3 linked regions of the Ovis aries genome follow. The protein of the gene in region 2 purifies or fractionates together with the protein of the main gene of each other region. This does not show direct contact. Links are inferred from orthologs where the notes say so. Each region holds a gene or a part of one and is shown on either strand. Other genes may lie near its edges.

Evidence for each region.
Region 1: the proteins of MINK1 (region 2) and STRIP1 purify together in Homo sapiens (affinity purification with mass spectrometry; 3 studies listed by BioGRID and IntAct, with this or other methods). This does not show direct contact. The link is inferred for Ovis aries from reciprocal best matches to the Homo sapiens genes MINK1 and STRIP1.
Region 3: the proteins of MINK1 (region 2) and CNOT9 purify together in Homo sapiens (affinity purification with mass spectrometry; 3 studies listed by BioGRID and IntAct, with this or other methods). This does not show direct contact. The link is inferred for Ovis aries from reciprocal best matches to the Homo sapiens genes MINK1 and CNOT9.

What each region holds. Positions count from the first base shown.
Region 1 is NC_056054.1:87,356,851-87,360,418, forward strand, and holds part of STRIP1 (striatin-interacting protein 1), read left to right. Parts: coding exon 1-53; intron 54-1,147; coding exon 1,148-1,219; intron 1,220-1,710; coding exon 1,711-1,785; intron 1,786-1,976; coding exon 1,977-2,074; intron 2,075-3,298; coding exon 3,299-3,425; intron 3,426-3,568. UniProt on the Homo sapiens protein: Plays a role in the regulation of cell morphology and cytoskeletal organization. Required in the cortical actin filament dynamics and cell shape. Part of the striatin-interacting phosphatase and kinase (STRIPAK) complexes.
Region 2 is NC_056064.1:26,411,835-26,415,911, reverse strand, and holds the start of MINK1 (misshapen-like kinase 1), read left to right. Parts: upstream 1-1,214; 5' UTR 1,215-1,447; coding exon 1,448-1,504; intron 1,505-4,077. UniProt on the Homo sapiens protein: Serine/threonine kinase which acts as a negative regulator of Ras-related Rap2-mediated signal transduction to control neuronal structure and AMPA receptor trafficking.
Region 3 is NC_056055.1:220,558,388-220,561,955, reverse strand, and holds part of CNOT9 (CCR4-NOT transcription complex subunit 9), read right to left. Parts: intron 3,355-3,568; coding exon 3,175-3,354; intron 1,987-3,174; coding exon 1,871-1,986; intron 1-1,870. UniProt on the Homo sapiens protein: Component of the CCR4-NOT complex which is one of the major cellular mRNA deadenylases and is linked to various cellular processes including bulk mRNA degradation, miRNA-mediated repression, translational repression during translational initiation and general transcription regulation.

The sequences.
Region 1 (3,568 bases), on a different chromosome or scaffold from region 2:
CAGTGGTGGGGCTGCCCAGGCCAATCCACGAAAGCATTAAGACTCTGAAACAGGTAGGTGGCTTCAGGTATGCTTTTGGCCTAGTTTGGTCCCAAGTGAGTAAAGTGATACCATCCTGTTGGGAGAAGCTTTTTTAGACTTCTGTCTGCCTGAAGGAACCAGGGGTGGAGTAATAGGTGGACAGTGGCAGTATCCTTGAAAACACTTTTTCATGCGTTTTACTTATTTTAACTGAGCGTTTTTTATTGGGTACTTACTGGGGTACCCATTAAAGATTCTATTAACTGACAGTTGGCGTTTTAAGGGGCCTAGGACATAGCCTCCGTTTTCCTTGCCCAAGTTCAGGGAGTTGAGTTAGAGGAGTAGGCAGGTGGAGATTCAAATGCCAGCTTGTTGCCGATGGAGTGATATGGGAGCATAGCTGCAGGAGGTGTCCTGACACCTCCCTTCCAAAGTTAGGCAGACTCGCCTGCCCAGACCAGAGAGGCCTGGAGCCCTGCTCAGCCTAGGCAAGGAGCAGAAGCGTGCACAGGCTTTTCTTTTTCCTTAAGAGAGAAGAGAAAGAGGTTGAGCGAGACTGTCCTGTTCCTCCTCCCATGCTGGCCAGTCAGGAAGGGGAGGAGTGAGTGGGCGGCGGTGGGGAGAGACCAGGGTGTTTGGTACACACGTGTCCCTCCAGTGGGAGGAAACAGCACAGTGAGGAAGAGGGGTGTTCCCTAAGAGTGTATCTGCAATATAAGTGTTCATATATTTTTGAAATATAATTTTGAAATTTGTAGTACTAGGTGGGCCTCATGCAGCTAGGCTTTTTGAGTATTTGAGTCCTTGATTCTGTGTACTTGAGTCCTTGATTCTGCTTTTACGTTTCCTCCTATAGCTGTAGCTGTCTGCAAGTCCCCTCCTCTCCTTTAATTTGCCTGTTTCCCCCTAACCTGTTCTGTGCTTTCTTTATACTGGTTTTAAGAGACAGGTGCCCACTTAGAAAAATATTTTGGGTTGGGGTTTTAGTTCAGGATCTCTGTGGTGACTTAGCCCTCTTTGAGAAGATGATGTTTGAAGAAAATTGCATGGGGTCTTTCCCAGGTGTGGGCATTTGGCCAGAGAATGCGAGGTGTTTGCCCTAATGTCTCTCTCCCTCTCTTTGCAGCACAAGTACACATCGATTGCAGAGGTCCAGGCACAGATGGAGGAGGAGTACCTCCGCTCTCCTCTCTCGGGGGTGAGTTGGGGGCCTTCCTCAGCTCACCGGATCCCAGCCGTTCCCAGCACTGTATAGGCCTAGGCTGCAGAGCATCCTGGCCCGCCCTCACATAGCTCCCAGTCTGGCTCCCGCTGCAGGGCTGCTGCGTGTCGGGTGCAGGGGTAAGAGCACAGACTCTGGGCCCGCCACCTACCTCTCAATCCCAGCGCCACCCCTTGGTGGATGGTGACTTAGGCAAGGTACTCGATCTCCTTCTGCTTTCCCTTCCTAGCCTGTTAAATGGAAATAACAATAGTACTTTCTTCATAGAGTTGTAGTAAGGATTCATTGTGTCTTTACAAGTGAAGTACCTGGCACATTTTGTTATTAAAAGTTTGTGATCATTATTAGCATTGTCGTTTACGTCCATACTTAGAGATTCTCCTCCAGCCAGCTAGCAGGCTGGCTCAGGAGAGCATTGTCAGGACCAGGCTTTGTATCAGTGCCCCTTATATGCATTGTGTTGAAAGGGAGAAGAGGAAGTTGAACAGGTCCCTGCAGAAACTCTCTACCAAGGCTTGCTCCCCAGCCTGCCACAGTACATGGTGAGTGCGCACCTCCTGAGAGCTCTGCCTGCCATGTGGTCACCGCCCCACAACAGGCCTTGAGAGCATGCCACTGGTGTCCTTGAGCCCCTCCTTTTGCCCCCTAAGCACCTCTAAAAGCACCGCCTCTCAGGAGTTTATGCTGCCTGGGGCCCTCTCAGCATGCTGTGTGAATGTCTGCTCCTTGCCAGATAGCGCTACTGAAGATCCTGCTGGCTGCAGCTCCCACCTCGAAGGCCAAAACAGACTCAATCAACATCCTAGCTGACGTCCTGCCTGAGGAGATGCCGTGAGTATCAAGTCTTGAGAGTTGAGGATGTACAGAAAGGGGACGTGTTGCTGGGTGGTGGTGGTTCTTTGTTTTGTTGTTGCTGCTGCTGCTGTTACATTAGCTCAGCTTCTCTGCAGATTAAGTTTAGGGTATTCTTGGTTTAGAAGAAAGAAAATGTACTGGGTAAAATAATTAGTTTTACTGCTTGTGGGGACACTTTCATCTGATTGGCCTGGATTCTAGTGTAAACTCTGCAACTGAGTGAATTGGAGACGTCACTTCCTCTTCCTCCTCTGTTAAATGAATAGGGCTGTGTCTGACATTTCCCCAAGTGCTCCCTTGAAAGCTATGTGCTTAGGACGTTCAGGACATACAGTTTTAGCTTCTGCACAAAAATCAGCCATTGGAGCTGGGTGTAGATTCTTTACTATTCACCAGTGAACTGGCATGAAAAATATTTTTGAACGTCCCAGGGTAATAGTGAAATCTCCAGGGGTTCTTCCTTCCTGAGGCCCTGACCTCATGTTTTTGATCTGAGAGTACAAACTCAGATCACGTTCTACTTTGAGAAGGACCTGGGCACCTGATCTCCTGCCTGCTTGCCAGGACTGCCCAGCTCTGAGCCTAACTCCCTGGTGGGCTGGCCACTTGAGTCTAGTGGTGACAGCCAGTGAGGGAGTAGGCGGGTTGGCTAACACCAAAGGGGACGTTAGAGAATGCCAGGGCATCTGATGGTCCTTGGAAAAAGGATTCCAGAGTCAAATATTAAATCTCCTCTTATAAAGATTTATAGTTAACTCCTTAATTAAGAACTTAACTCCAAACTTAAGAAACTGATTTAAGTAAATGCTTCCTAAATTTATTTGACTCTGAACCCCTTTTCCCCATAACAAGAGCCATCTCAATATGCTGGTATTCCAACAGAACATGCTCTGAGAAACACAAGTACATATGATGGCAGAAGCCTCAGGAAGATCTTGAGATGAGAAGTTCAGTTTTGGAGGAAAAGCAGGGAAATAGGCCAAGAATATGTTTGGGGCATCAGAAGGAAGAAGTCAGGTGTACTGAGCTAGATTGCTTGGGAGGTGGGTGGGAGGAGCCAGGCCTAACCTCTGAGATGTCCGTAGGGTGGAGGGTTAGGTGGGAGCTCTGCCCCGAGAAGGCTCAGGAGTCCTGTCTCCTGGGAGCGCCAGGCAGGAGGTGCTGCACATGCTGGGGCCTCACCCGGGGTTGTGCTTCTAGCACCACAGTGCTGCAGAGCATGAAGCTGGGAGTGGATGTGAACCGCCACAAAGAGGTCATCGTTAAGGCCATTTCTGCCGTCCTGCTGCTGTTGCTGAAGCACTTCAAGCTGAACCACGTCTATCAGGTATCTACAGCCCCTTCCTTCTGTCCACGGGGCCAGGCCCTTGGGCAGTGCTGCTCCTCAGGCCCCAAAGAACAGAGGCTTGGCCTTCAAACCTCCCTGAGCTCTGCGCAAATGTGCAGAGAAACAGTCCTCCACACGAGGCT
Region 2 (4,077 bases):
GTTTGACCCCTGGGACAGAAAGATCCCCTGGAGAAGACAATGGCAACCCACTCTAGTATTCTTGCTTGGGAAATCCCATTGTTAGAAGAGCTTGGCAGGCCACAGTCCACCAGTTCGCAAAGAGTTGGACACTACTGAGATTAAACAATGACAACAACAACAAAGTAATGTTTACATTAAGGCTGGAGGTGGGGTCTTGCAGAAATACTATCACTGTTACAAGTGATCTCAAAGATCAAGCAGCCTTCTCTTTCAAATTTGCAAAGAAAGGCCCAGAGAAGCAAAGCAACTTGCTCAAGGTCACACAGCATGTCCGTGTCAGAACATGACTCCTTGCTCTTTATATAGCATTACTCAGCCTCCAGTGAGGCTAACGGCTGGGGGTTCTACGCCAACATGCCTAGACCTAAGGTGACCCAAGCCAGACTTGAAGGGGGTCAACATAGATTCTTACTGCTCCCCTCCACCTCTCCCTGCCACCCCTCCTCCACGCACAGCTCCAGTGATCAATTAGTAATTGTGGAAGCAGTTCTGTTGTGCCGAACAAGAGGTGCAGAGACAAAGGCCTGCAGTAGGATTTCCTATCCTCAGATCTTAGGATCCTCAACACTTCCCACTGCAGTCGGGGAAGGGGTAAAGGGGCAGTCACGAGGCAGCCAGTCCCCCCTCCACTCCCCAGCCCCCAGACGGTTTCTCCAGCCAAGTTCTCACGAAGACGCCCCTCCCTCAGCGGCTCCACTGTTGCTATGGCAATTAGGTGGGTGGACAGCCCATCCTATCTAGAGGCCACCCAGCCCTCGCGTGGGGAGTTACCATAACAACCCCCCTAGTAATAGAGGGGGTTGGGTCCCACCCCCCTTCCCCCGCAAATAGAGAGGTGGGTGGTTTGATTGGCAGCTGGGCACACGAAAGAGGAGGGAAAAGGAAGGAAAGGCGTCAAAGGAGAGCTCAGAAGGAAATGGGGGAGAGAAAGGGCAAAAAACAGGGGAAGGGAAGGAAACGCGTATGCGCACGCGCGCCAGCTGGTGGGCGCGCTCCGCGGCCGCCTCGGCCGCCGCCCACTTCTTTCACGCCAGGCTCGCGCGGTCCCTCGGTCCTCGCGCGCGCCTTTCGCTCCCTCTCCTGCGCCTGCGCGCAGGTGTCGGCGCCGAGGGGGAGGGGGAACCCGGCGCGCCCGCGTCACGTTCCCTCTTCCACCCTCCGGGTGCGCGGCCACTCTGCGCCTGCGCAGGAGAGGCGGGAGGCTCGGGTTGCAGGCTCTGGGGCGAGAGCTCCTGTCAGTCGGTGGGTCGGTCCTCCCGCCGGCCCTCCCCCTCCCCGTTCTACGGGGGAGGCGCGGTGGAGCCCGCCCCCAGGATCCCCCGATGGGGGAGAAGCGGCGACGGCGGCAGCGGAATAACCGAGCCGGAGCGTGAGCGGCCCCGGGGCCCCGTTCCCGGTGGAGGCCATGGGCGACCCAGCCCCCGCCCGCAGCCTGGACGACATCGACCTGTCCGCCCTGCGGGTGAGCGCGCCGCCCCCCCAGCCTCGCCCGGTTCCCGTCCCCGCCGCTGGAGAGCGGGTGGCCGCACGCCTCGCGAGCTCCCCGGGCGCCGGGTCCCCCGCGGCGACCCCCGCCCCTCTCCCTGGCCCCCGCCCTCCGCTCCCCTTCGCTCTCCACGCGCTGCAGATTCTGGGAGCCAGCTTGGTCCCCGCCCTGGGGTGCCCCGCCCCCATTCCTCTCTCGTCCTCTACCTTTACTCAGCTTCCGGACCCCTTCCTTCCAGGTGTTTGCGGCTCACCCTCCAGCTCCCCTGAACCTGCAGTATCTTCACCGTGGTGCCCCTTCCTGGCCCCTGATCCCCTTTGGGGCCTCTTTCCCCCTCGTTGCTCCTCTGTCTTCTTCCCCCGCCTCCTGTTTCCCGGCTCCTCGAATTTTGACTTTGCCACTGCCTCGCCAGCCTCCCCCTCATCACCCTCTCTCCTCCTCGCCCAGCCCTGAATTGCATCTCTTCGCCGGCCGGCACTTCAGCCTCCCCTCTCGGGCCGCACACCTCCTACCGCCGCCCTCACCCGGCTGCTTGGCTCCCGCCCGCCCGGGTGCCTTCCTTCGCATTTCAGGTGCAGCAGTCCAGCACCAGGCATTTCCGGTCTCAGGGTCCCCCGCATATTACATTACCAACTCTGCAGCAGAGCTGTGGGGTTGGGAGGAAAGTCAAGTGCACCGGGGGAGGAGGGGACGCGTTTCTGGTCTTCAGAAACTCTGGCCTGGGCTGGGAAGAGGATGTTTACAGGTCTGTACACACACGAACACATGCAGCATGTGGTCCTTCGGGTTTGGAAAAGCTTAGGTATTCATGGCTTTGCTGGAAGGCGGGGGAGGCGATGGCGATCTCTCCAGGGAGGGGCTCATTAGAAAAGGGATCAGAGGGGAACAACTGCAGCAGGAATTTCTTGGAAATACCTATTCGTTGTCCCTCCTGGGGCCCTTGCACGTCCTCATTTGGGAGCTTTCAGCAGCATTTACCCGTTTTTCTTCAGCAGGGAGCCCTGGCTTAAGGGGCCACTGAGTGATTTCAAGGTGAAGACTCCAGCCTCTCCCCCAGGGGGTGTTTTTGTCCTGTGTCCTTCATGCTCTCTCAACAGGCCAGGGTGTTTGGGGAGAGCAGGATTTCCCATCTCTGGGTTGGGTGCTCCGGAGGCCCCTATTGAAATGTCTTCTGGTTTTTGAGTTGGCCAGGGAATGTGGCCAGTAGCTGGAAAAGGCGGTCAGCCACACAGGTGCCCCGGATATGACTGGAGGGGAGAGGGGAATTGAAGAGAGCAGAGTCATGTCGTTAATTGGGTTTCTCTAGGTGACACAGTTTTTCTTGCCATTCAGGTCATAATTTGTTTGGTGAAACGTTGGGCTAGGAGACCTGACTTGCTTCAGATAAGGTGATGAGTTGCTGAGGAGGGAGATGGAAGATTGAATTTCTCTCTCTTTCTCTGTGTGTGTGTGTGTGCGTTTAGGGGAAGAGGGTCTGAAGGCTTTGGGAGGGAGAGTCTTAATCAGTTTAAACTGTGATTCTCAAGTCAGGCCAGCTGGGGTATAAGATGGAAATCCAGGCTCCCCTTAGTGTACTATCTACAGGATGAGTCCCCACCTTGCCTTCCCACCTTGGTTGTTGATTAACTCTCGCTGCAGGTTCCTGTTGCTGAGGTGACTTAAATATAATAAAAACAGGTGGGTCCAAACCATGATCTTTGGCTTAAACCTTGTGGGGCTCTGCCTGGGCTTCTCTTTTCCTTTAGCCTCTTCTGCTAGTTTGGCCTGGATCCTCGGCCTGGGATTTCCAGCAATTCTGCAGACACCCTATGACCTTGGATGTGGTATTTCCCTTCTTAACTTCTCTACTTTTGAAGCAGTGTTAGCCTCTTTCCTCAATCATCTCCTGCCCTATTCTCCTCTCCTTCCCTTCAGAGAGGCCCTAGACCTGCTCCCGGTGCTTATGGTCTTTCCTGCCTCGGGCATTTTAAGAAAGCATCCCTCTTCCCCCCCCCCCGCCCCCCACCAGCCCAGTACTCCAGGGTTTGGGGGGGGAGTGAGGGGACCACTTCTTTTGAAATAGGACTGCAGAAGGCCTGTTGGACTTTTCTCAGGGAAGGACCTGTCCCCTCTGCCCCACCTCAGAGAGCCCCTGTATAACAGCTGGGCTCAGTCATCTCTTGTTCTGTTCTTGTCTGTCGAGTAATGGCAACCTGGAGAATTAGCAGAAAACTGTTTCTCTAAACTGGGGAGGGGGATTGGAGAGGAGCATATTCAGCATTTATTAGCCAGCCTCACAGAGTCTAAGTTGTTTTTCTTCTCTTGTTTCAAGATAAGGCTTAGCTTTCAGGTGCTGATGAGAGTAATAGGCTGGTATTAGGAAAGATTGAATGGCACTATCTCTTAGCCATGGGTGGGGAGGCGGGTAGACCTGCCACTTCGTGACCACAGGCACGCTTGACCTCTTTAAGGCTCCGTCTGTCTTCTGGCCCAGTAGTGTGGGGTAGTGTTCCTAAGTTCAAGTCCCCGCTTTCTCACTTATGAGTATCCATGGCCTTTCTTCCCTGGTT
Region 3 (3,568 bases), on a different chromosome or scaffold from region 2:
GTCATAAAATGTACTTAAGTGCACAAGAGATTCTCCTATATGTCTTCTCTTACCTAATTTATGAGTGAATAACAATATTAATAATATTCACAGGTACAAGCTGACAAAACCTTATAAACCAAGACAACAAAATAAAGCAGCCACTATCAAGGTTTTATCTGTTACACTTAAATACACTTCTTTGTTAGAGCTTTCAGATAAACCAAGTATCCTAAAAACACTTTTATCTGCAGCCAGTATGTTCAGCAACTAATACGCAATCAGTCTATTACTTTATATAATTTGTAACAGTTACACCTTATAGGAGAGCCAATATCCCAAAATTTTTACTAAATACTCTTTTATTTTTCTTAAGTACTTAAAAATAATTTTCTTAGCAAAGTTTCTAATGTTCCAAAAGGTCAGTGCCAATCCAGCACTCAGATTTTATAAGGAAAACTTGACAAAGAGAGGAAAGGCTTTAATAAGATGACTATTAAGCACCTTAAGGCCATAAAAGCCACAGAGCAGATTTCTGAACAGAATCTCCCCTTTCTTAATTTGTCAGATACAGCAGTAAGGCAAATATTTCTCAACTTGCACATCAATTCTCATTTATGACAGACGTTGACTAGAATCCTGTGTTCAAAAAGGTTCTGAAACCAAATCTGGCTTACTATGTGAGAATTCCTACTAAATACCATGCACTGTGCCTCATGCATGGCATAGTGATGCCTACCATGGATTCGGGAGCAAGTAGTAGCTGTATACCTGACTTTTCCTGAGAGGTGATCGCCACTCCTTTAAAGTTCCTTACTACCAACAGGCAAAAAGTAAATGAGACAAGGGAATATTATTCAGCCTTAAAAAGGAAGGAAATTCTGACATATCCAATATACTGGTGAACCTTGAGGACATTATGTTAAGTGAAATAAGCCAATCACAAAAAAGCAAATACTATATGACTCCATTTATAATGAGGTATTCAGAATAGTCAAAATCATAGACAGAAAGAAGAACAGTGGTTACCAGAAGCTAGGGGACAGGGGGATGGGAAGTTATTATTTAATGGGTATAGAGTTTCAGTTTTACAGGATGAATAGAATTACAGAAATGGATGCTGGTGACAGTGGCACATTATTAATGTGTTGTTTTTTTTTTACAGACCCCATGGACTAGCCTATTGGGCTCCTCCGTCCATAGGATTTTCCAGGCAACAGTACTGGAGTGGGTTGCCATTTCCTTCTCCATATTAATATATTTAAAACTACTGAACTGAACACTTAAAATCAGGACTTCCCTAGTGGTCCAGTGGTTAAGAATCTGCCTTGTAATGCAGGGGATGTGGGTTCGATCCCTGGTTGGGGAACTAAGATACCACATGCTGCAGGACAATTGGGCTCATGTGCCACAACTATTGAGCCTGTATGCCACAACTAGAGAGAAGCCTGCAAGCCACAATGAAAATTTTGCATGTTGCAACTAAACCCAACACAGCCAAAAATGAATAAATAAAAATAAAATAAAATGGTTCAAATAATATATTTTATGTTATTTATATTTTACCACAATTTAAAAAATCAATTATAAAAGAACATGTTACTATGGTTGATGCATGTTGATGTTTGGCAGAAACCAACACAATATTGTAAAGCAATTATCCTTCAATTAAAAAAAAAAAAACATGTTAAATAGTACCATATTGCCACTACACCAAAATCTGGTGAAATTAGAAACCAGAAATTCTTCAGGAAAAAAAAAAGTAGGAGTCCTGAAGATCCACACCCACACAGGTGCACCCTCCTGCAAGCCCCTCCTCTCATCATTCAGAAGAAGTTTAGGACCACATTCAATACAAACCTCTACCCTCACATCCATCCAAAGTATTTACCTGGTTTCTGGGTGTGATGCCACACATTGCAGTAATGCTAGGGCATTGCAAACTCTGTTAGACTGGTGTGCTGTCAAGGTGGGTGGGTTGATAGATGGATAAATATTTACAATTTCCTAAAAAATGGAAATCAACACCATATGAGCACGGAATAACTTTAATTCCCATGGTATGAAGGCCAACAATTTTAATTTTGTATACCCTATAAGAACAGAACCATCAAAGAGGGGGCAGAAATAAACAATATTCCTTTCATCACAAATATACCTGACTGAGACTATTTGAAACATATTATCCCTAGGAAGATTTCTAAGGAGGGAACTGTGGTTACCCACACTTTTCCCTATATTCTGCATCATCTGTTGAGGCTTTCACTTGAGGGACACCCCTCCTCCCACCTTTGTCAACACCCTATTTAGGTTGTAGTGATGAGACAGTTGGCCAGAAAATGTCAATAAATCAACCACTTTAACTCATAAAGAAGTTTCTGTTTCGTCATGTAGCAAGTGCAAAAAGGATGAGATAAGAAAGTATGTACATGTGTGGGGATATGTACAAACAGCAGAGAACATATGTATTCTCTGTCAAAAGGTGATGATTTGCTGAACACAATTCCATTTATCTTAACTGTAAAATTTTTATACAGAAAATGTTCCCATAAGAAAGACTAGTTTCCTGGGTACATGCAGTACAGACAGAATATGAATTTACTCAACAGATTTTAAATATTAATCTAATTATTAGGGATGTGGACAATACTTTAAAAGATGATCATATCTTGGTTCTTAGGACTACATCGTATCAATTTATTCCATGGAAATGACTGTTCTAGTCAGAATGAAATATTAGTTATTTATTCTTTAATATACAAGAATACCCACCTTTACTCCTATGGCTGTTACATTTTTACGCTAGCATTTTCTTTACCCAGAATATACCTTTTAGTTCTTATACCGCTCTCTCCACCACCATCCCCACTCCACCTCGTTATGCAGTATTATTTTACAGTACTCCTAAAGCTGTGTTTCTCAAAGTGCAGTTCTTACATCACCTACATCAAAATCATCTGGGAGTGGGAGCTGCTTGTTAAAAATACAGAATTTTCATTTTAGACTAAATAAATAAAATCTCCTGGGTAGGATCCAAGAATTTCATTTTATTAGATTTTTCTATGATTCTTACAAATGTTAACACTTAAAAAAAAAAAAAAACTTACCAAAGTTTTCAAAATCATTTGTACAAAGGCAGAGAGATACAATTGTTATAATTAGAATGAAATGCAACTCATGGCTATATACACCCACCTGTAAAAGTGCTGCAATAGTACCAAATGAATGCCACAGCATGGGTGCAAGGTCAGGAACAGATTCTCGCTTCTTACTTAACTCCAGCAAAGCATTTTCCCTCGTTTCAGGACTGGACAGCTCGTTGATCCACTGATAGATCTTTTCTCTATCCACCTGAGCCAGTGCAGTAGGCACAGGCTTCAAGTGAAAATAAGAAAAGTAAAAGTAAACATGTGAGTTTCATTAGCATCAAACCAAGTCTTACTCTGCTATAGCCTTTAGAGGGAATATATATTTTGTAAATAACAGGGCATCTTTTTTAGCAACATATACTTGATGGAAACTAATTCAATAAAACACACACACTCCTTAATAATACCATATTTGGAAATTTGCCCTACAGGTATACTTG